4 linked regions of the Callithrix jacchus genome follow. The protein of the gene in region 1 purifies or fractionates together with the protein of each later gene. This does not show direct contact. Links are inferred from orthologs where the notes say so. Each region holds a gene or a part of one and is shown in the gene's direction. Other genes may lie near its edges.

Region 1 (4,815 bases):
GTATTAATTGGTTACCAGAAAATCCCCCCAGGTAGCAGTGGCTCTCTGGGCACAGGGCTCTTATGCTTATGTTCCTGTGCTTCAATGTATCTTCCATGCTGAGAGCAAATGGAAGGTGTTCCTGCACCCGCAAAACGTAACAGAGGGGCTGCCTACTTTGTCCACAACGAAGTGCAAAGGGCAAGGGAGAGTGGACTTTTTCAGACTGACCCTGTTGACTACATTCATAACTCAGTCATACGCTTTTCTCCACCTGTGTAGACACAAATGCTTTATTGAATACCAGCCTCCTACAGTTAGATATTTGACTTTTAGGAATGGAGGAGTCAGTTACAAAGTTCTGGCCCCTGCTCTCCCTTCCATTTCTAGTACAGAGGGCTTAAGATAGGCTCTGAGCAGCGCTTTCCACTCACTCCTCTTTTTCTGAAGCTTGGAGCCGTAAACCTTATCCTTTAACTTCACCAAGAGACTACATGCATCATATAAGGGTGAGCAAAAGGGACCTGGATGTAGACTTCCTGACTATCCAAAGGAACCTACTTCTCTTTGCTGTTCTCAAGTGCAGGTGTCCGGAGAAAGGCAGTGAGCTAGGGGCTCTAAAGTGCTAGCGTAGACGCGGCCCTTAGCTGAGTGGCCCGAGAGGGGAGGAGGCTGGAAGAGCGTGTCTATACGTTCCATGTGAACCTGCAAGCTAGCTGCTTGCTGCCCAGGTGCCAGTTCGCGGCAGCTTGCGCCCCACTGCAGCAAAGAGCAGCCGCAGCCTCTGCCTCGGCTACCACCGCTGCTGGGAAAGAGTCCTGGGGCTGCTGACGCGGTTGGGAGGAGCCTCGCCTTTAATGCACCAGCCGCCTCCAGCCTTCTGCAGCAGCAGCAGCAGCAGCAGCAGCAGCAGCAGCTGCTGCGAGTGCGCGCGTGTGGGTGTGAGGGTGAGTGCGCTGGCGCCGGCCACAGCGCCCTGCCCAGATCCCCGCCAGCTTCCCTACCCCCGCCTGCCGGAGCCGCCCTCCCGTGGGACCAGCACCCTCATCCCGGCCAGGCAAGCCTGAATCCTGCCCCTGCCATCTCGCCACTGCAGCGGGTCCAGAAAGGCACCATTTTGTCGCCTCTGCCCGCTCTTCCAGGGGGAGGAGGGATCTTTTTTGCATTTTGGAGCGGCTGCCAACGAGGGGAACCTGTTGGGCATCTCCCCAGCCCCGCCTGTGAGCGCCTCCCGGGCGGGCGGGCGGGACCAGACCCCTCGGGGCACTGCACATCTTGGCACCCGGAGGCAGCGGAGGCAAGCGCAGCATCCTCGCTGGGAATTGGAGCTGGAGTGAGCGCACCGCGCGGGAGGAGCCGCCGCAGCCTCACAGAACCCGAGTGGAGGAGGTGACAGCTCCATTGCCGGGTTTTTATTTTTTTCTCTCCGCCTCCCCGTCTCCTCCTCAGGCTCGGACCATGGTGCAGTCCCACTGGCTCCCCTGCCCCCCTCTCCTGTGAGACTGGCTGCGGGGAGGGATCATGGATACTTGTCTGCCGGCTTCTGGTTCCCACGCAAGTAAGCCTGCTGTCAATGGAGGAGGACATTGATACCCGCAAAATCAACAACAGTTTCCTGCGTGACCACAGCTATGCGACCGAAGGTAACGCCAGCCCCGCCGCATTCCGCCGCTGGGGCCGGGCGCAAGTTGCGGATCACTGTGCTTCTCGGGCAGCTGGGCGCGTAGTGGCGGAGACTCCTCCGGGCCCGGGGCTGGGGCGGGGGCTCGGCTGGCCCCGGCAGCCGCCTGTGCGCCCCGCATCCATCCGGGCTCCCCGAGGCGAGCCCGGCGTTCAGCAGCAGGTGGACCCGGCGCCCACGGGAGTTAAAATGGCCCTCAGGGATTAGGCTTTTCAGGGTGGGGCTCTAGCCCGAAAAGATGACCCCAGGAAGGCAGATGACCCCTCCCCCTAAGATATTTGCAGGGGTCTTTGGGGCAGATAAAAAGGGAGGGGCCCAGTAGGACCTTGGTCCCCCCTCCCTGAGCGAAACGATGTTGTGTCTCACAGTGGCTGCAGGGAGGGCATGGTTTCATTTCCTGCCCATTCATCTCCCCGGTCGGCCAGGTTACCTGCTCAGACAATCAAAATCCCAAAAGGCCCTTTGCAAACGGGAAAACCTCTTTTCTTTTGGAAGTGTATTAGCAGAAATAAAAAGGTGGCTGGAGAAATCGTGCTCTGGCGGCTAGCGAATGAGGCTGACACGTGGGGCGAGCAACGCGATCGGTGGGGCCTTTAAAAATCACCATTATGAATTCTGCAGCAGTAGTTTCTGCTGAATCAACAGCCAGCAGAAAGCAAGAGGGTTCAGCAGGCTGAGCTTTGCCAAGAGATGAAATTGTCGTCTCTCCCTCTCTCCCAGTTTGTTCTGACATTTAGCCCTAGTGCTCTGCGGGCAGGGAGGGAAAGTCAGCAGGTGGAATCTCATTCTGCCTTTTGTGTGTGAATAGAGAGTAGAGGCATTTTTCCCCCAAAGCCAAAACTTTTGCATTTTTGCTTTCATTTTCTACCTGTAGGCCTTTATCCTTAGCCTTCATACAAAGTGTTACATTACCACATTATAATATCCACGCGAGAAAATGTATGTGGAAGTGCTTTAGGACAATGTTGCAAAGAGTGTTAATTTAAAATTATTATTCTTAGATGCTAAAATTTCTGTAATATTTAATCAAATCAAAAGATGCCTAGAGAAATGTGATGGGGGGGAGTAAAAGGGTTCAAGCTCTGAAAGACATAAAAAGATGCACACACATCTGGGGACAAAGGTGGCATCTTCTATAAACATCCCTGGAAGTTCTAGCTAGAGGGAATGCCCAGTGGTATTGAAAGTATATTCTCCATTTGTCATCATTTTTGGAGAGCATCAAGCCTAGTATGCCCATGGTGCTAGACAGATAAAGCAGCGTTGTAAGCTCTGGCCTCTAGGAGCTTAGAGGTGGCTTTTAAGATGTGCAGACCATCCCTCCCCTATACAGAGCACCGTACTTACCAATTCTTTTTCTGCACATGATGGCAACCTGATTGTAAGATGTTCTCCCTCAGTCTTAGTGCTTTGTCACTGACTCAGTGACCTGATAACATATGACTAACTCTGTATCTAAGCATGTCATCCAAGAGAGAAGTTGCCTTGAGTCTGTTGGCTCATGCGGGAATATTTCTTTCTGTTTGTAACCACAAAGAAAGAGAGCCGCCTTCATGTTTTCTTGTATATTACATTATGCAGGCAAGGGAAACTTAGCAAGCTGAGAAAATGCCCAAAGTGGAGATATGTGTATAGGAGTGTCAATTGTGAAGAAATCAGTTAAAAATGACATTCTTTATTGCTTTCAGGGCCCTGGGTATTACCTTTGTTCTTATTTTTATTGCATTTTTGAAAATTCTGATTCTGGATAGAATAACTAGGTTCATATAGTCAAAAATTAGATATGAGTTTATAGCAATGAGCTTTCGGACATGTAAGAATTAATCTTTCAGATTTCCTTCTTTTTCTCAAACACACACACACATACTAAATGCACTCAAAACTAACAAACCTTTATTTCACAGTAGCTTCCAGGTTTTAAAATCTGATTTTAGAGAAGGTATGGAAATAAAAGGAAAATATAACTTAAATGATGTAAATAGCAGAAGTTGGATAGAGCAAGAAGTTCTCTATGGTTTTGACCTATTTGCTTCAGGGAAGATTCATGCAATTTTCCTGCCAGAGGGGGAAGAGTCCCTGTTCCTCCAATACCTTAAGACATGTTAGCATACCTTGAAAGAGCACCAGATCAAAAGAATCTTTGTTAAAATTCTCCTCACTGGGAACTTGCCCCAAAAGTTTTCTTCCCCTTTATGAACTTATATCTACTTACTGGGTGGGAAATTAGCTTCTAGGTCCTTCTACAGATCTTGCTTTTCTGGTTCTCTTAATATTTCTACAGTTTCCTCCTACCTGCTCAGTTATGTCAGATTGTTCTTTTTTTCCCTCCAAAATATCTCCTTACATGTATTTCTGAATTTTTCTTCCATTTGCTCAGATCATTCCACATTGCAGTGTTCTATTTAAAGCTGAAAGATTTGTGCTGTGTAGTTAGTGTGAAGGACTCTAAACTCAATTTGCATTGTAAGTGGTGGCTGCAGGCAAGTTCATCCAGCTAAGAGCAATGCAAATGCTAAAGGACACTTTCACCCAAACTCCCCTCTCTCAGTCTCTCTCCCTCTCTCTCTCTTTCAAAATAATGCATGATGTGCATTTATTAAAGAAATTTCCTAGGACTTTTTTTTTAAATTCTGAGCATGAAAATTACTGCCCTCCCCTACCTTTCCCTATATTTCCTCCTCTTTGAAGTTAACATCTTTGAGCATCTTCTATGAGCATCCAAACACTGTGCCGAGCTCTTTATGTATAGCATTTCAGTATATCTCAACCCTGTTAAATGGATGCCATTATTTCCATTTTCAAATAAGGAAACTGATGCAACCGAAGACTGGAGATGTTACTAATTTGCCAAAAGTCACACATACAGAGGAAAACCTTGTCTTTAAACTCAAGCCAGTGTCTGAAGGCCAGGTTCTCCCACTAGGAAATTCTGCACTGCTTCATTTTCCTTTAACTATCAGCTCTTACTATGGGAAAGATTGCAATGGTTTTATCTTGGTGTGTAAGCTGTGTTTCCATCTGGCATAAAATCCTTTGCAGGGATAATTTGAAGTGTGTGTATGGGGTTATATATGAGGAAGGGAACTGGGTGGGTTGAAATTTCTCACAAAAATAAAGTCAACACAACGGTTTGATTGTTTTTTTCTTCTCTTTTG
Region 2 (4,916 bases), on another chromosome or scaffold:
TTGAGTGGTGGGGGGCCTGGTCTCCCCTGGAGGGTGGGCGGGTTGTCTGAGGGAGTCCTCAGAGGGTCGCCCCCTTGCGCGTCAGAGTTGTTGTGTGGGCTCTCAGAGGTAGTGCCTGGTGCCTGGGCTGGGGAAGTCACTGTGGGGGTCTCCGTGGTAAGGTTGGGGTGGGGACGGGGGCGTCTTCCTCAGGTGGCAGCTTCGTTGAATGGGGACAAGTTTAGAAAGGGTCTTTTTGGGGGGAATAATTCTTGAGTCCCCACCTGCGGGGGGAGGGCAGGACGGGAGGGTGTCCCAAGACAGATCACTGTGGGGCGGGGGACAGGGATAACCTGGGAGGGGGCTTTGTATGGGGGAAATAATTGGGAAGGGGAAAGAAGGGATGAGGGGGCCTCAGCGGCTCGTCTCTTGTGTATGCAGGGTGGTTCTGTAGCGTGTCTGTGAGATGGCGTACGTGGAAGCCCTGAGGTCGCCCCTACCCGCTGCGGGGTGCTTTCCTGGCCCCAGGAGGGAAGGAAGTGAAACTCTCCTTCCCACCCACCCGGCTGGCTGCGGGTCTGGAAGCCTGGGGCTCCAGCCTGCTCGCGCTGCCGGGGCCGGGGAGGGGGGGGCGTGGCCGGAGTGCAAAGCCCCGCCCCTCCAGCCCGCCCGGAAGCCCGGCTGCCGCCGGCTATGGCGATCACAGGCCCTGTCCTAATATGGGCAACCGGAAGCGGACCGCGCGACTGTCCTACGTCACTCCGTCCAAATTTAGTTGTGGAAGTCAGCGGGCGCCGGTGGCGGGAAGGAGCTGCGAGCCAGTGCGGGCGGGAAGTGGGGGTCGCGCCACTCCTTAAAGGGCCCGTATCGGGAATGAATGGAGCCATTCGAACAATTTTTCATCCTTTTTTGGAGGAATTGAAATTAGGATTTCTTGGAGAGACGGCGCGTAGCGGAGGGTAGGGGGAGGTTTTCTACCTGCTCTGTCTCTGCATTGCTGGGTTTCCAGCTCCCAACCGAACCCCGCCTCCCGGGGCACGGAGGCGGAACTCGGTCCCCTCGTCTGGGGGGGGGGGCGGCAGCCACGTGTTGACCGGGGCTGTCGTGCGCGCCGGGTTTCCTCCAAACCCACCCGTGGAGCTCCTGTCGCGGGAAACTGCGGGGGGAATGGCTCAGTAGGAATCACGGAAACCCGCAGCTCGGGGCGGCTCACCGTTTACAAACAAGGGCTGGCGTACCCTAGAGACCGAAGAGCTGGAGGCCCCAGTGGCCTCCTTTCACAGCAGTAGCAAATATTGTTTGTTTAGCATATCCTGGCCCAGTGACTCTGCCTTGGTTTCCCCACTGGAAGGAAGCAGATAGGACAGTGTCCTCCGCGGGGTGGAGGTGAGGGATCGGTGAGTTATTGATAAAAGGAGCGCTCTTAACCGCGCCTGGTAACTAGTAAGAGCTGTTAGCATGATTATTGGTGCAGAAAACACTCACTAGACACACCTGGTAAATGCTATGAACAGTGCCTACAGGGGATGTTCAGGCTGGAAGCCGGGTCTTCCCCTGTGTGAAGGGAAACTTGCCGCCCACGAGCCACTGGGGCCCCCAGACGGCGAGCATGTGGATGGGCCCTGAGCCGCATCCCCGGACCCCCTCCTCTGGGCCAACGCGCCCAGGCGGAGCTCAAAAAAAGGAGCCCACCGGAGAGCTCAGCGTGGAGTAGGGGGACGCTCCTCCTCGCTAAGGTTTCCGTTCCCTTTCCCTGCTAGGTAAATCGCATTCTGTCGCTTTAAGGAATGTTTGGTCGCGTTGAGTTGGAAAGCCCGGATGCGTCCCTCGGATTGGGCGGGGCGTCTGTGACGTCACTGGGGGTATAAAAGGGCCCGGGTGGCGGGCGCCGGGGCAGAGCGTCCTAGCAGTGTCACTGCGTGGGTTGGTTCGTGGGGAGAGGCGTTAGCGAGCCCGCTGTCCGGAGTGCACCTGCCGCCTGTCCTGTCCGTCCAGGGAGCCCCCGCTGCCGTCGCCGTCGAGTCGCCATGGAAGTGCAGAAGGAGGCACAGCGCATCATGACCCTGTCGGTGTGGAAGATGTATCACTCCCGCATGCAGCGCGGTGGCCTGCGGCTGCACCGAAGTCTGCAGTTGTCGCTGGTCATGCGCAGCGCCCGGGAACTCTACCTCTCGGCCAAGGTGGAGGCCCTCGAACCCGAGGTGTCCTTGCCGCCCGCCTGCCCCTCTGACCCTCGCCTGCACCCGCCCCGGGAAGTCGAGTCCACGGTCGAGACAGCGACCGCCGACGGCGAGCAGCCGTCTCCGGAGCCCATGGACACGCAGGAGGCTCCGACGGCCGAGGAGATCCCCGCCTACTCTGCCCCGCGCCCCGCCAAAGTCAGCCGCAAACGACGCAGCAGCAGCCTGAGGGACGGCGGGGACGCCGGACTCGTCCCGAGCAAGAAAGCCCGTCTGGAAGAAAAGGAGGAAGAGGAGGGGCTGTCATCCGAGGTCGCCGATCGCCTGCAGCCCCCTCCGGCGCAAGCGGAGGGCGCCTTTCCCAACCTGGCCCGGGTCCTGCAGAGGCGCTTCTCGGGCCTTCTGAACTGCAGCCCCGCAGCCCCTCCGACGGCGCCGCCCGCGTGCGAGGCAAAGCCAGCCTGCCGCCCCGCGGACAGCATGCTCAACGTGTTGGTGCGGACGGTGGTGGCCTTTTGAGGACCCCGAGCAGCGCTGCCAGAGCCCAGAGCGCGCGTCGAACCATCGGCCCCAGGGCGCAGATCCGAGGCGAGGTCACCCCCTCCTTCCCGAGGGGAGCGCCCGCGAAAACCGTGGAGAGAAGCCGCCGCCCGGGCTGCTGAGAGGCCCGGAGAAGGGACTCTGTCCCCAGGGAGCCGTCGCCTTCAGTGTGCAGCGACGGCACCGAGGAGTCTGAGCCGGGGGCGCGGGCGCCTTCCGCAGAGACCTGCTGCGCCCACAGGTGCTGTCTTAGTGAACTGGGACGTGGACCTTTCACTCCTGGACTGGGAGAAGGGAGGCTTGGGGTTTTTTTTGTTTGTTTGTTTGCTTTTTTTTTAAGATCTCAGGGTCGGACTTCATTTTGTACTGGGGGCTGTGCTGGCCCTTTGAAGGTTTTTCAAGAGTTGGTTTTGCGTTTCCAACCTCAGAATTCCTGGCGCTCCCCTTCCCCCTCCACTGACATACTTTTGTAAACGGTCATCGTTGCGTCATGGGGCAGGCGTGGGGAGTTTCCTGTCGCCTTGCGTGGGTGTGGGGCCTGGGAGGAGGATCTGGTGCGTGGACCCACCCTGGAGAGTGGGAGGAGAGTGGCCTGAGTCACTTCACCCCCGCGTGCTGCTGGTTGACGTCCCGCGCCTCTGCACCTCGGGTGGGAGCGGGAGCTGATGTAGTTTCACATTCAAAATTTTCTCATCTGGTGCATTAGGAGTGGCTAGGAGGTTCCCCAGGTTCCAGCGTGCCCCTCCCTCAGACACGGACACAACCCAGATGTTCCTGGTCTGAATCACGAGACTATGGAGGGGTGGGGGGGTGGCAGTAGAAAGGCATAAGGCTGAGCTGGGACCAGTTGCTGGTGAAACTGGGCTAGTTTGGGGAGGGGGACATCTTCACCAGGGAGTTTTTGAGGGTCTGTTTACTTTTCCTGCGGTGGATTCTTTTTAATTCCGTCTAACCTGGCGTTTTGTTAGAAATGTCAGGAAAATAAAAGAGCATTTGAGTAAAAAGGCCGGTGCTGTCTGGTTTTCTGCTCTGGTGGGGGAGGGGCGGGGTTAAAGGGTCAGGGGCTGGCGGCGGCCGGCTGGGGCCCCAGGAACCGGTCTGACTGGTTACCACGTGGGCGGGAGAGGGCTGGGCCCCCTTTTCCTCGCCCGGGCATTCCCTAGCTGGTGGAGCCCCAGCCCACCAGATTTGGGGGTTCCCTTGAAATTGTTCTACAACTCCGGGATAGGGGGTTTTCTGAGTTGAGACGTTTGAGGGGTATTGCCAAGCACAGTGTCCAAGCAGAGTTGGGGATCGATCACACTTTGCTTGAAAGATGGCAGATCTCGCCACCTGCTTTCCCGCCCCGACGACCCCCTTAATCAACTGAATCAGCTGCGGCCGGGGTCCTAGTCCTCAGGTGGAGCTGAGCGGGTGCGCTTTGAGGGGCCCTTTACCTGGTCATCGCTGTGTGGCTTAGGAAGGAAGATGCAGCCTCAGTTTCCTCATCTGTGAAATGGGCCTCTATGCAGCTTCTCTCCACCCGGCTTTAGGTTTCTAAAAATGCCCATTGGAGCCCTAGTTATTGGCTTGGGTCACTCCCCAGCTGGAGAATAGCCACCCCGAGAGGTGAAAGTCCTTTCAATATCCCCCACGTCGGTTTAGGAGTGGGGCTGTAGGCGCTGCCCAGGGCGGAGGGAGGAGGGCTGGCAGGAAGACAAAGGAGTCCCAGGTGCGGGGAGTGGTGGCGGCGGGAGGCGCCGGGAAAGCGCTCGCCCCGCCCCTCCGACGGCTGGCTCGGCCGCCGCTGGCTTCCCATTACCCCAGGGGAACTGACCCCCAAGACCGGAAAGTAGAAGGAGGGGCAGGCCAGCCCCAAATCGTCTGCTGGTGGAATCTGGGCGCCCTGGCTCCTCTCCCGCCCAATCCACACCCCTTTCCCCTCCCGTGTGGATTGTGAAGGAGAGCTTCTCACCGCTCTCCCCTAGCCAAGCTCGCCCCCACGGCTGCCTGATTCCTTCTTGGGAACACGTGGGGGAACTTTTAAAAGGCGTCACCTACTCCGAGTCCTAACCCACCCAACTCCCCCACGGGACGTGCGGGCACTGGAGCCGCACACTACAGGCGGTAGCTCATTGCACCCGCGTCGGACTTCCTCCCCTGCGAGCCTGGCCTGGCCCAGCCCGGGGAAGTCCGGGGCCCCTGGGGAGGGGGCCTTGCCCGCATCCTGTCGCAGGA
Region 3 (5,317 bases), on another chromosome or scaffold:
GCGATCTTGGCTCACTGCAACTTCTGCCTCCTGGGTTCAAGCCATTCCCCTGCCTCAGCCTCTCCAGTAGCTAGAATTATAGTCGCCACACCCAGCTAATTTTTGTACTTTTTTTTTTTTTTTAGTAGAGATGGGGTTTCACCGTATTGGCCAGGTTGGTCTTAAACTCCTGACCTGAAGTGATTTGCCCACCTCAGCCTTCCAAAGTGCTAGGATTACAGGCGTGAGCCACTAGGCACAGCTGATTATCTTTATTTTTTAATTAAAAAAAAAGGCAGCACAGTGAAGTGAAATAATTTTCCAGAGGTCATGCAGCAAGTGAAAGGCAAATCTGGGATTCCAACCCAGGAAGACTGCCTCCACAGTCTGTGTTCTTAACCATTGCTTCATAGCAATGGTTAAGACCAATAACTTGCAAAGAAGAGAAAAGAGAAGAGAAAAATTCTTGCATTTTTACTCAATATATGCTACTTGGTTTTGTAATTATTTGTGACATTATTTTATCTCTTTCTCTATGTAAGCTGAAAATTCCTAGAGGGAAGGAGCTCTGGGGTCTCAGAGCTGCTACCTCAATTACCATCAATTGTGGGCACATCGCATCCCCTGGAGATTATGAATTGGTCATGATCAAGCCCACTCTTCACTGGTATTTTTCCTAAATAAATTCATTGCTTGGTCAACCCCTGGGGCAGGATCAGGCCCGGGGTTCCACATGGACTCCAAGAAAGCAGTGCTTAGTTTTCTCATTCAGATTGTGGCTGAGAGTTGTCATTTATCTTCTGTATAATAAAGCAGATGTGTATGTGACTTCCCCCTTTCCGCAGTGGAGACACTGAAGCGGCCTCAGGTTCTCAGGCAGGTCTGTGGTGGAGTTTGCTGGAACTAACTGGAACTGACTCTATGTTTCCAGTCCAGAACTCTGAGCAACCCTGTGGCAATTCTGCCCTAATACACTTATAAGGACCAGTAGATGGACTAAGGTGTTGACAGACCACAAAATTCTGGAACTCCCTTGCCCTGTATTTTTACCTTGACACAAAATGAAATTATGACATCATCATGGGAACACAGGACTTCTCTCTTTGTATTTTCAGAACTTGCTCGATTTTTCCAAGGGTACACTGGTCAGTCCTTGTAATGGAAAAAAAAAAAAATCATTGTGGAGAACCTGTAACACCTTCCACCTAACCTGTTTGATAACTAGCTTTGCTCTACAATCTGGAGAACAAAGTGAAAGATGCCAGCTTTAGACGACAACCAATAACTTTGTATCTAGACACAATTCCTTGATAAGCCAAAAAAGTAGCCAAAAACTTCTAGAATTCCCCTTTTCTTTAGGGTTAGAACTGACAGCTGCTAAGAGTGTATGTGACTCTATTAGGGAAAGCGGCTCGTCCAAAAATAATAACTGCCAAATACCGTGCAGTAATGCTATTTGTTATCCAGAAGTGTCCTACGCCGCGTATAGCCACCATCTCTATTTTAGAGTTGAGGGGGATGGCTCACAGGTGTGGCTGGCCTGGAAACCGTGGCGTGGCTGGTGAGGGCGGGGTCGATCACGGAAGGATCAGGACTTCATGGCAGAGCAGAGTCCACCACCACACTCGGATGAAAGTTCAAAGATTTTGTTCGCTTTGTTTCTGGCAAGCCATCACACAATCCTGAGTCTGTAACTCTAAACAGTAGCGCCCACGAGCACAGCCCCCGACCCGCACTCCCCCCGGCCCTGGTTGGCGGCCGCACACCCACACCGTAGCCCCCTTTAAGAGCCTGCTCCGCGGGACTAACGTTCGAACGGGCCCTGGCGCCCCTCCTCGGGCTCCGATTGGTCGTGCGCGGCGCACGAGGGCGCGCCGGCCAGCCTCAGAACGGCTGGCATCCCTTCGTGATTGGCGGTCGCGGAGCCTATATAAGGCACGGGACGGCCGGGCTGCCTTGTTTAGCGACCGGACCCGGAGCTGGGCGCTTGTCTGGTGTGGAGCGGCCAGCGGGACAGCGCGCGCGTCACCGCAGTCGTTTCTCTTCGGAGTCTTAGGCGATCGAGGGTGTACCCAGGGGCGGACTTGTTTGTGTTTCCCGTCCCCTCCCGGCTTCCGAACGTGACACCCCGTCACCCCGGCGCCGGCGGCCGTGTGCAGGGGACGCAGGATGGAGTTCAAGCTGGAGGCTCACCGCATCGTCAGCATCTCCCTGGGCAAGATCTACAACTCGCGGGTCCAGCGCGGCGGCATCAAGCTGCATAAGAACCTCCTGGTCTCGCTGGTGCTGCGCAGCGCCCGCCAAGTCTACCTGAGCGATCCGTGCCCCGGCCTCTACCTGGCGGGTCCCGCGGGGATCCCGGCGCCGCCGCCGCAGCAGCTCGGGGAGCCGGCAGCCGGGCCACCCGCCGGCTGGGGAGAGCCGCCCCCGCCTGCCGCCGGTGCCTCCTGGGCGGATACGGAGCCACAGCCGGAGGGCTCCGCGGTCTCAGAGGCGCCGCGGGTGGGGGACGCGGTGCCGGAGGCCACGGTGACCGGAGTCGGGGTCGTTCCTCAGGGCGGAGCCGCGGACGCGGCGAAAGCTGCCTGGAGCCGAGTGGAGGGGCCTCGCCAGGCGGCGGCCGGAGAAGCCGAGGGTCCCGCCGGAGGCTGGGGTGTTTTCCCCTTGGGGTCTCGTGCCTCTCGCCGCCCCTGCGGCTGCCCCCTAGGCGGGGAGGACTCGTCGGGTACACCGGCCGCGACCCCCCGCGCTGCCTGCTGCTGTGCGCCGCGACCCGCCGAGGACGAGCCTCCCGCGCCGCCAGCCGTGTGCCCCAGGAAGCGCGGCGCGGCGGGGGTGGGCGGCGGCCCAACGAGCTTCCCGGCGCCCGGCTCGACCCCGCTCAAGAAGCCCCGCCGGAACCTGGAGCAGCCGCCGAGCGGGGGAGAGGACGACGACACGGAGGAGATGGATACCGGGAACGTGGCTAACCTCATCAGCATCTTTGGTTCCAGCTTCTCGGGACTCTTACGGAAAAGCCCCGGGGGCGGCCGGGAGGAAGAGGAGGGAGAGAAGAGCGGTCCGGAAGCCGCCGAGCCCGGGCAGATCTGCTGCGATAAGCCGGTGCTGAGAGACATGAACCCCTGGAGCACAGCCATCGTGGCCTTCTGAGCCCCTGCCTCCGTGCGGGGAGGAGGTTGAGCAGCGGGCGTCCCCGAAGTGAGGGCCGGGACCCTCCCGGCTGCAGGGACGCCCAGAGACCGCAGGCGCTGAGCGCGTTGGGCAGACTGGTCGCCGCCGGGCATCGCAAACCGCCCCCGGGCGCGGGGGCCCTGCCGGCCCGGGACTCTCGAGGCTTTTCTGGAGACCAGGGAGCTTGAGGCTCATTGGAAGAGGACGATTGTTAACTTTTGTGTTTGTGTATGTCAGTGTGTGTAAGTTTGTCTTGTGGCATTAAGACTATTTTGTCCTTCTGGAATGCACCACTCCTTCCCCGGGGCTTACGAGACTGGGGGCAGACAGGGACTTTCCTCTGCCTACAGCGTGGAGAAGGAAGCGGCTAAAAGGTTTGGGCCGGGGAGTTCCCCATTCGTTCTCCGGAGAGCGAGGGACTTTACACCCACCCCTCACCGGAAAGCTAGACCCGCTTCAGGGCCAGGAGTGGCGTTTCCGCACAGGATTTCCTAAGACGAGAGGGATTTTAGCCACGAGCACCGACTTGAATTCCTTCCCTCCCTCCCCACTTTTCTTTCCCAATGAAGAAACGCTTATGTCCTGTGATTACTCTAGGAAAGGGGAGTATTAACGGCCCTTCGCTTCCCCGCAGGGGTGAAAAAGCTTGATGAACTTCACAGAAGAGTTCAAGCTTGGAAATACGGAGTTTATAGAGAAAAGATATATTTTTAAAAGCTCTAGGTCAGAACTACTACACAGTGCTTTTAAAAAGTGTTTAATGAAAGTTTACAGACAGAAGCCCTAAGTGAAAAGACCTTATGGTTTTGTAGATAAGGTGACTCCAGTCTTTGTTGTATAAAGGTTGGGGGAGCTGATAAGGTTTTTGTACAGTATTTTCTCCTTCGTTGTATTGATTTTTGTATAAAAATGTAACTTCTACGTGTCTAACACGTATTAAATATTTTGAAGCAACGTAACTGCCTCCTTGTCTGTAATAACCTGCCTGGGTTGGGAGGGAAGTGGGAGGAGGGAAACCAGGGCCTGTGCTAGAAAATTGAAGGTGTGGTTCTTGGTATCAGTCACTCGCAGACTGAGGACATTGTTTACTGACTCCACCAAGTATCAAGAGAGACACGTTTAGTTTTTTCTTCTAGATCAGAGGGCCGCTATTAGATAGTAATATCACCGACCTGCCAGGGTCTTGAAACCTGCCATTACAACTGCCTTTTGTAAGGTCAGTTTAGGCCAATTTGACTGTCACCAATACATGGGTGTCCATTTTATTAAGTAATTTAAGCAACTTTTGAAGCCCTGCTCATCCACAAAAATGTTTTTCAGCTTAGTTTCCTGTTATATGGATCATCTTTTCGCTTTATTATTGAAAAAAATTTAGATAGTAGTAGACCTTAAAAGCCTGATGCAACCGACATAGGAAGCTGAAAGAGACTGACTTGTCCAAATTGTCAGGTCCCCCTCTGCATCTCAAAGGGTGTCAGGATGTAAATGTTCAGTTTTTCTCATCTATAGAAAGGAAATGTATAGGTGAAAGGGAAACTGCATCAAACGAGATAAGGAAGGAGGGCATTCTCATTTAGCAAAACTTCCTGATTTGTTTTTGTTACTCAAAAGGTGACATCAGTGTTTGTGTCATGGTAGAAACTTAGGTGATGACAGCCAAAACATTCATTGATTTTACTAAAATCACTGTCATTAAGAGAGCTTTCTGTCTCTTCATCTTCAGTGTTTGAAAGGTATTCAATTTATTTCAGAAGCAAACCGATTAGGGAATGTTTATTAAAATACGGTACAGTTGCCAGGACTTCTTATGGTACTGGTTTCTAACAATTTATGAGTAGGGTGTTTAAAAGATGGGAGAGATTGAAGAAAGAGACAAAGCTTTAAAGGTCATAGCCTTCGAGCATAAGAAACATGAATGGTGCATTGGCCTTAACTGTGAATTATATGAACTTCTGTCATAGCTGAATAGGCCAGTGCCTGGTGCCTTGATATTTCGGCAACTCTATTAGCAGTCACTTAAGCCTAGGGACCTTTCTACTTCATGCTCTGTCACCAGCATAATGTGTTTATAGAACTAACATTCTCAAAGTAGGATCTTGTTAAATCGACTTTTTCTTTCAGAAAGTAGCTACTTAAATGCTGTTATGGCTATGAAAGATCCATCAAG
Region 4 (5,488 bases), on another chromosome or scaffold:
ACAAAGCGATTAATCTTGACTTTCTATAAAATGTTCTTTTAATAACCCTGATTGTCTTCCATTCACAGTACCTTTTCATGAAGACTTAGAGATTTAAGAAACCATTCTTATATTGTGTACACGTTTTTTTCTTTGACTTTTCTTTGAGGAGTGGTTATGTTTCATAGGAAGAAAATATAAGGAATGTATCAGATCAGGAATTTATACAACTAATTACTTGGACTTCTAATGCAAACACCCCCTCTGCCCTCCATAGTGGAGAAAAGACCCACCATAATCCTTATGGATAATTTCAACATAAAAATTATACATAGTTGTGTGTATATTTCTGCATATGTAAATAGTATAGGAAAAAGTACATTCTATCTATACTGTGTAATATTATTTCTACTTTGACTTTCTGCTTATCAACCAAACTTGCTTGACTGGTTTGACACAGGGAGCACTAGCATACTTCAGCCTCAGATCCTCTTATCTTTCGCCGTGGCAAGAAAGTCACTACCTCAAAACTGCCTTAGTAATCTTTAAATAGCTTGGATAAGAGTAATTCCCAGATTGTAGTTTCAGTCCTCAACCCAATGGCCTAAAGTCCTATCACTCTTCCCAGTGTTCTTTTCTCACTAAACCGCCTACAATGCAAAAAGGCAGGGTAGTCCTTTTTTCCTTCAAGGCAGCCTTGTAGAGATTCAATGTCCAGTTTCCTGATCTACTCTGGGTTTCTAGGGTGACTGTTTTCACTGCAGTCACCTACTTGGTGAGCTTGTGTCTTCTTCAGCTGCTAACCTGATGAGCGCTCTCTGCGCTCTCTTTCATGATCTCAGGTCCTTCAGGAGATCCTCATTCCCTTACCCCGACTCCAATCCTATCACACCTTTTATTCCTTTCTTCCCCACGCTAGACTCCACAATTATTTTCTCAAACTCCTGCTCATAGCCCTTCACGCTTCATTCATTCAACTAACATTTACCGAGTACTGCTTTGTAGTAGTCCTTGGTCATTCAGTAATGTAGTAACCGTGATCCTTGCCCACAATCACACCAGCAATGACACAATCCCTTTGCCAATTTATGTTCTTTCCTGTCCCTGTGGATCTCTAAAACCACACACACACACACACACACACACACACACACACACACACACACACATTTAACTTCGTTATCAAAACCACTCCTACGGTTTGTTCTTCTCTTTTAGTCATCCTACCGGTAACCCTCATCGCACCGCATTTATCACCACTCTGTGGCCCCTACCCGAGCCCCTGATTCCTTTCCATTCTCTGGAGGGCCAATTGCCCTTCCTTTTAACCTTCTGGTTCCCTGGCTATTTCCCCTCTTCCGTCCCTTATCTTGTTTAGTCAGCGGGGGTGGGGGGGTCTCCCTAAAATTCCTTACATTCTGCTCCACTATTACGCTTTCCTCAATCTTTGATCGCTCGGATTACCTCTTTTCTTGCGCCCACGGCTGCCCCCAGGCCCTTGGCCTTTTCGTTGTTTCATGACGAGCCCGAGCTTTTCTTTACAAGCTCAACTCCGTCTCCAGCACCTAAACAATATCCTCCCGCCATCCCTCCCCACCGCGCCTGCGTTCCCCGGCAACTGGCGCCGCTGTGCAGCCTGGGAGGCAGAAAGAAGCGCTCTTCCTCTAACAGACTCCGGACAACGGTGCAAAGAGAAGGCGCCAAGACGTCTTCCCTACAATAGACTACAATACCCAGGATGCTTTGCTACACTACCTCTGCGGGGTTGGCTGGCGGTGCCTCCAGCTGCGCAAGCGCATAGGGATACGCCCTTCGAGGACTCCATTGCCCAGGGTGCATTGCCCTGAAGAGCGCTCCTCTTTCCGGTGAAAGTCGTCGGGTTCCCGGCTGGGAGACTTCGAAGTTCACGGACTCAGTTACCCAGCTTCCTTTGTGGAAGGGCTGTTGCGCACTTCCGGTGGAAGCGCTGAAGCGAGTGGGTGGAGTTTACGGAGCCGGTGGGCGGTAGGCGGTGCTACCGGTATCTGGGTGCTGTCCAAAGGCGACAGGACGTCGTTAGGCGAGCGAGCCGTGACCGGTTGGGCCACACTCAACGTGGGACGAAGCTTCGCCTACTGTTTGACTACGTGCGTGCAACCTCCCCTTAATGTCGGCCCTCGAAAAGAGCATGCACCTCGGCCGCCTTCCCTCTCGCCCACCCCTGCCCGGCAGCGGGGGCAGTCAGAGCGGAGCCAAGATGCGAATGGGGTACGTGACCCATACCCCTTCTCCCTAGGGGCCAGGCCCCAGCCATTGGAGAATGGTGTCTCTGGGCGTCCAGAGAGGCACGGGAAAGGAGTCTACGGATAGGAGAAAATGTTGACGGCGGCCTGGAGACATTTAGATGAAGTAGAAGGCAGATTGGGGGACTAGGGGAGGCGCCAAATCAATGGAAATTGGAGGAAAAATAACGTTATTGACGGTAGAAATGCATGAGGCAAAATTAGGGAAGCTGAGAGTAACATAAGGGATCTGAGAATCGCCTCCGGAAAAAATAGAAAAGGGAGTAGAACGGTGACAAAGGTGGAGGGAAGTGGGGAATGACAGAGAAAAGTTGAGGGGAATTGGGGCAACAACTAAGAAAAGGTTTGGGAGGAGTAGATATTATCACACTTCTAATATCTACACTGTGAGAACTAGATATTAGAAAAGCTGAGGGGAATAGAGAACACCTAAGACAGGGTTGGAGAAGGAAAGAGGAGAACTAGGAAGCAGACGATTCTAGAGAATTCCCAGAGGTGTAAAGGCAGATGCAGGGAATGAGAGGTGAGATTAGGTGTCTTAAGGGAGAATGAGAAAGTTTGGGGAGAGGGCCTAAGGTAAGGTGGAGAACATAGCCACGAAGATTGTTAAGGTAATAGGAATATGCTGAGAAACTGGACAGGATATGGGAGAGAGAGAAGAAGGAGAGGACTAAAGAATTTAGAAAGTGACCATAGGCTCTGAAGATTGAGAAATGACTATAAATACGGTTTGTTGAATGGAAGTGCTGCAGTTGTAAGGTATGGGAAGCTTAAAGAGGAAACTTCGGGCAATCAGTTTTTGCTGGGCCAATAGACTGGAGGGAAGTGATGTACTGGCCTAAGACCTTGAATTAGTGAAGCTTTGGGAGTAACCACTTAAAATGTTTTTGGGGAAATAAGTTTGCTGGAAAAGGAAGAAAACTGTGTTGAAGAGATAGGCCTTGAAATTTTATATCATCAAATGGCTTGTGCCAGGTTAGGGGATACTTGGGCCAAGGAAAAAGAATGAGGTGAACCTGGGAGAAGTAATTGCTGGAAAGCAGAGAGAATTGAATAAGTATTTCATTTTGAGGTGATATTTGTAGTTTCAGACAGGATTCTGGGAATTAGTGACTGTAAAGAGAAAAGGAGTAGGAAGAATACTTAGCTATGAGGAATTGAGAGTGTATTTGGGATTCTAGAGATGAATTGGTAGATATTCTTTGAAAAAGGACTACAGAAGAGAAACCTTAGGTTCTGAAGAAGTAATACGTGTAAAAACTGATCAAAAAGGAGGTGAGAATATGTGATGCAGTACTGTGACAGTAAGTCCTGGGGATGAAAAGAAAGGAGAAGCCTATACAACTGGGGTGAAGGAATGGGAAGAATGGTTGGGAAAAACAGGGAAGGAAACTAAGAACTGAAGTGGAGACCTGCTATGAGACACAGTAGAAAAATGAGAAAACTTTAGCAGAAGATAGATAAATGGATGCACAGTAGAGGAGGTAGAAAGCTACATAGTAGGTAAAGTGAAGATTGTTTTCGCTTTGGAAGACAGAAAGATTGGACTATGACATGAATAAAGATAATTTGGAAACCGACCCATAACATTATTTGGGAAAATTAACCTGGAGTATAATATTAATGTAACAGTAATTGTGGATATATATCTTAATTTCTGCCTTTCTTAAACTAAAATTTGATCTTTCAGTATACCAGCACTCTTCTATACAAATACATAAGAAAAGCAAATTTTTAATAATTATACATTTTTAAGATAAGTTTAATTAGAGCTTAGCTTCTCACTTTGTCAAAACAAGTTCTCTGAAGATTGAAGAACTGGGTGAAAATACTGAGAGAAAATAAAAGGAAAATCTGCTGATTAGAAGATTGCATAATTATTAGTAATTTATCCTTTTTCTTTTTTATTACTTTTCATTTTGTTTTTTTAGAGATAGAGCAAGACTTTGTTGCCCAGGCTGGAGTGCAGTGGCATGATCTCAGCTTACTGCAACTCCTACCTCATGGGTTCAAGTGATTCTTATGACTCAGTCTCCCAAGTAGCTGGGATTACAGGCATGCACCACCACACCCAGCTAATTTTTGTATTTTTAGTAGAGATGCAGTTTCACCATGTTGGCCAGGCTGGTCTTGAACTCCTGGCCTCGGGTGATCTGCCCCAGTTGGCCTCCCAAAGTAGTGGGATTATAGGAGTGAGCTACCATGTCTAGCCAACTTACCCTTTTCTTTTTTTTTTGTCTCTCAAATTTATTTTTTATTTTTATTTTATATTATTTTTTTATTTTACTTTAGGTGTATACTATATCCAGCATTTCTCCCCATGTTATCCCTCCCCACCCCCCACTGCCCCCAGTGTGTGATGCTCCTCTCCCTGAGTCCACATGTTCTCATTGTTCAACACCCACCTATGAGTGAGAACATGCGGTGTTTGGTTTTCTGTTCTTGTGTCAGTTTGCTGAGAATGATGGCTTCCAGATTCATCCAAGTCCCCAACTTATCCTTTTTAAACAGATGCTTTGGTCTTCCTGGTTTAGGTTAACTGTTTGTCCTGGGAAAGAAAGTTCTTTACAAACGTTTTTCTTTATGATAATATTGTGAAGAGAAGAACATATATTGGTGAATATTTGTGTGGTCCTCAAATGGCTTATTTTCCCATATTTTTCTTTTTGATTTTATTGGTACATAAGCAGGCTTCATCTAAGTCTCATGGTAGTAATAATATAGATTATCTTTCCCCTTAGAATCATAAAGGTGAAAGAGAGTGTAGACATGGTCTCATTTCACCACTTCATCATGTAATTGAGGAACCCAACATTCAGAGAGTTCTGTATTCTATAAGGAATGGGGGAAATATATTCTCTTAATAAATGAGCGAACTGAGACTCACATATTCCTAAGGCACCCTAGAAGCTTAGCAGTGGGGCCATTAAAGACTAGGACTTGGGTCCCCTGACTGTGAGACCCACTGTGTATTTTGGAGTCATAATTGTCATTTGGGAATACTTAATTTGAGTTGTGTATCTTATTCCTTTGCAAATAATTTAGGATTCAGTCTTTTTATTCAGTCAGTCATGATTTACAATGTCTCACACCAATTTCAAAGCCTACTTTATGTCATCTTATACTCATTTGCTTTTTTCTTAACTTCCATTCTTTGACTCCCTCATCTATCTGTTACTTGAAAGTTAGTCCTGTTTCCTTGATAGTCTTGTGTGGCTTACTCTTTC

What was found. Proteins that work in one complex are often made in the same cells at the same time.
Region 2: the proteins of PPP2R2B (region 1) and IER2 purify together in Homo sapiens (affinity purification with mass spectrometry; 3 studies listed by BioGRID and IntAct, with this or other methods). This does not show direct contact. The link is inferred for Callithrix jacchus from reciprocal best matches to the Homo sapiens genes PPP2R2B and IER2.
Region 3: the proteins of PPP2R2B (region 1) and IER5 purify together in Homo sapiens (affinity purification with mass spectrometry; 4 studies listed by BioGRID and IntAct, with this or other methods). This does not show direct contact. The link is inferred for Callithrix jacchus from reciprocal best matches to the Homo sapiens genes PPP2R2B and IER5.
Region 4: the proteins of PPP2R2B (region 1) and PPME1 purify together in Homo sapiens (affinity purification with mass spectrometry; 3 studies listed by BioGRID and IntAct, with this or other methods). This does not show direct contact. The link is inferred for Callithrix jacchus from reciprocal best matches to the Homo sapiens genes PPP2R2B and PPME1.

What each region holds. Positions count from the first base shown.
Region 1 is NC_133503.1:45,412,608-45,417,422, reverse strand, and holds part of PPP2R2B (serine/threonine-protein phosphatase 2A 55 kDa regulatory subunit B beta isoform), read left to right. Parts: intron 1-843; exon of another isoform or gene 844-1,036; intron 1,037-1,428; coding exon 1,429-1,622; intron 1,623-4,815. UniProt on the Homo sapiens protein: The B regulatory subunit might modulate substrate selectivity and catalytic activity, and might also direct the localization of the catalytic enzyme to a particular subcellular compartment.
Region 2 is NC_133523.1:11,972,786-11,977,701, forward strand, and holds IER2 (immediate early response gene 2 protein), read left to right. Parts: upstream 1-1,874; 5' UTR 1,875-2,006; coding exon 2,007-2,678; 3' UTR 2,679-3,703; downstream 3,704-4,916. UniProt on the Homo sapiens protein: DNA-binding protein that seems to act as a transcription factor. Involved in the regulation of neuronal differentiation, acts upon JNK-signaling pathway activation and plays a role in neurite outgrowth in hippocampal cells.
Region 3 is NC_133519.1:39,363,190-39,368,506, forward strand, and holds IER5 (immediate early response gene 5 protein), read left to right. Parts: upstream 1-1,937; 5' UTR 1,938-2,148; coding exon 2,149-3,129; 3' UTR 3,130-4,104; downstream 4,105-5,317. UniProt on the Homo sapiens protein: Plays a role as a transcription factor. Mediates positive transcriptional regulation of several chaperone genes during the heat shock response in a HSF1-dependent manner. Mediates negative transcriptional regulation of CDC25B expression.
Region 4 is NC_133511.1:66,763,177-66,768,664, reverse strand, and holds the start of PPME1 (protein phosphatase methylesterase 1), read left to right. Parts: upstream 1-1,975; 5' UTR 1,976-2,125; coding exon 2,126-2,226; intron 2,227-5,488. Other genes in the region: C2CD3 (C2 domain-containing protein 3), read right to left, coding at 1,735-1,804. UniProt on the Homo sapiens protein: Demethylates proteins that have been reversibly carboxymethylated. Demethylates PPP2CB (in vitro) and PPP2CA. Binding to PPP2CA displaces the manganese ion and inactivates the enzyme.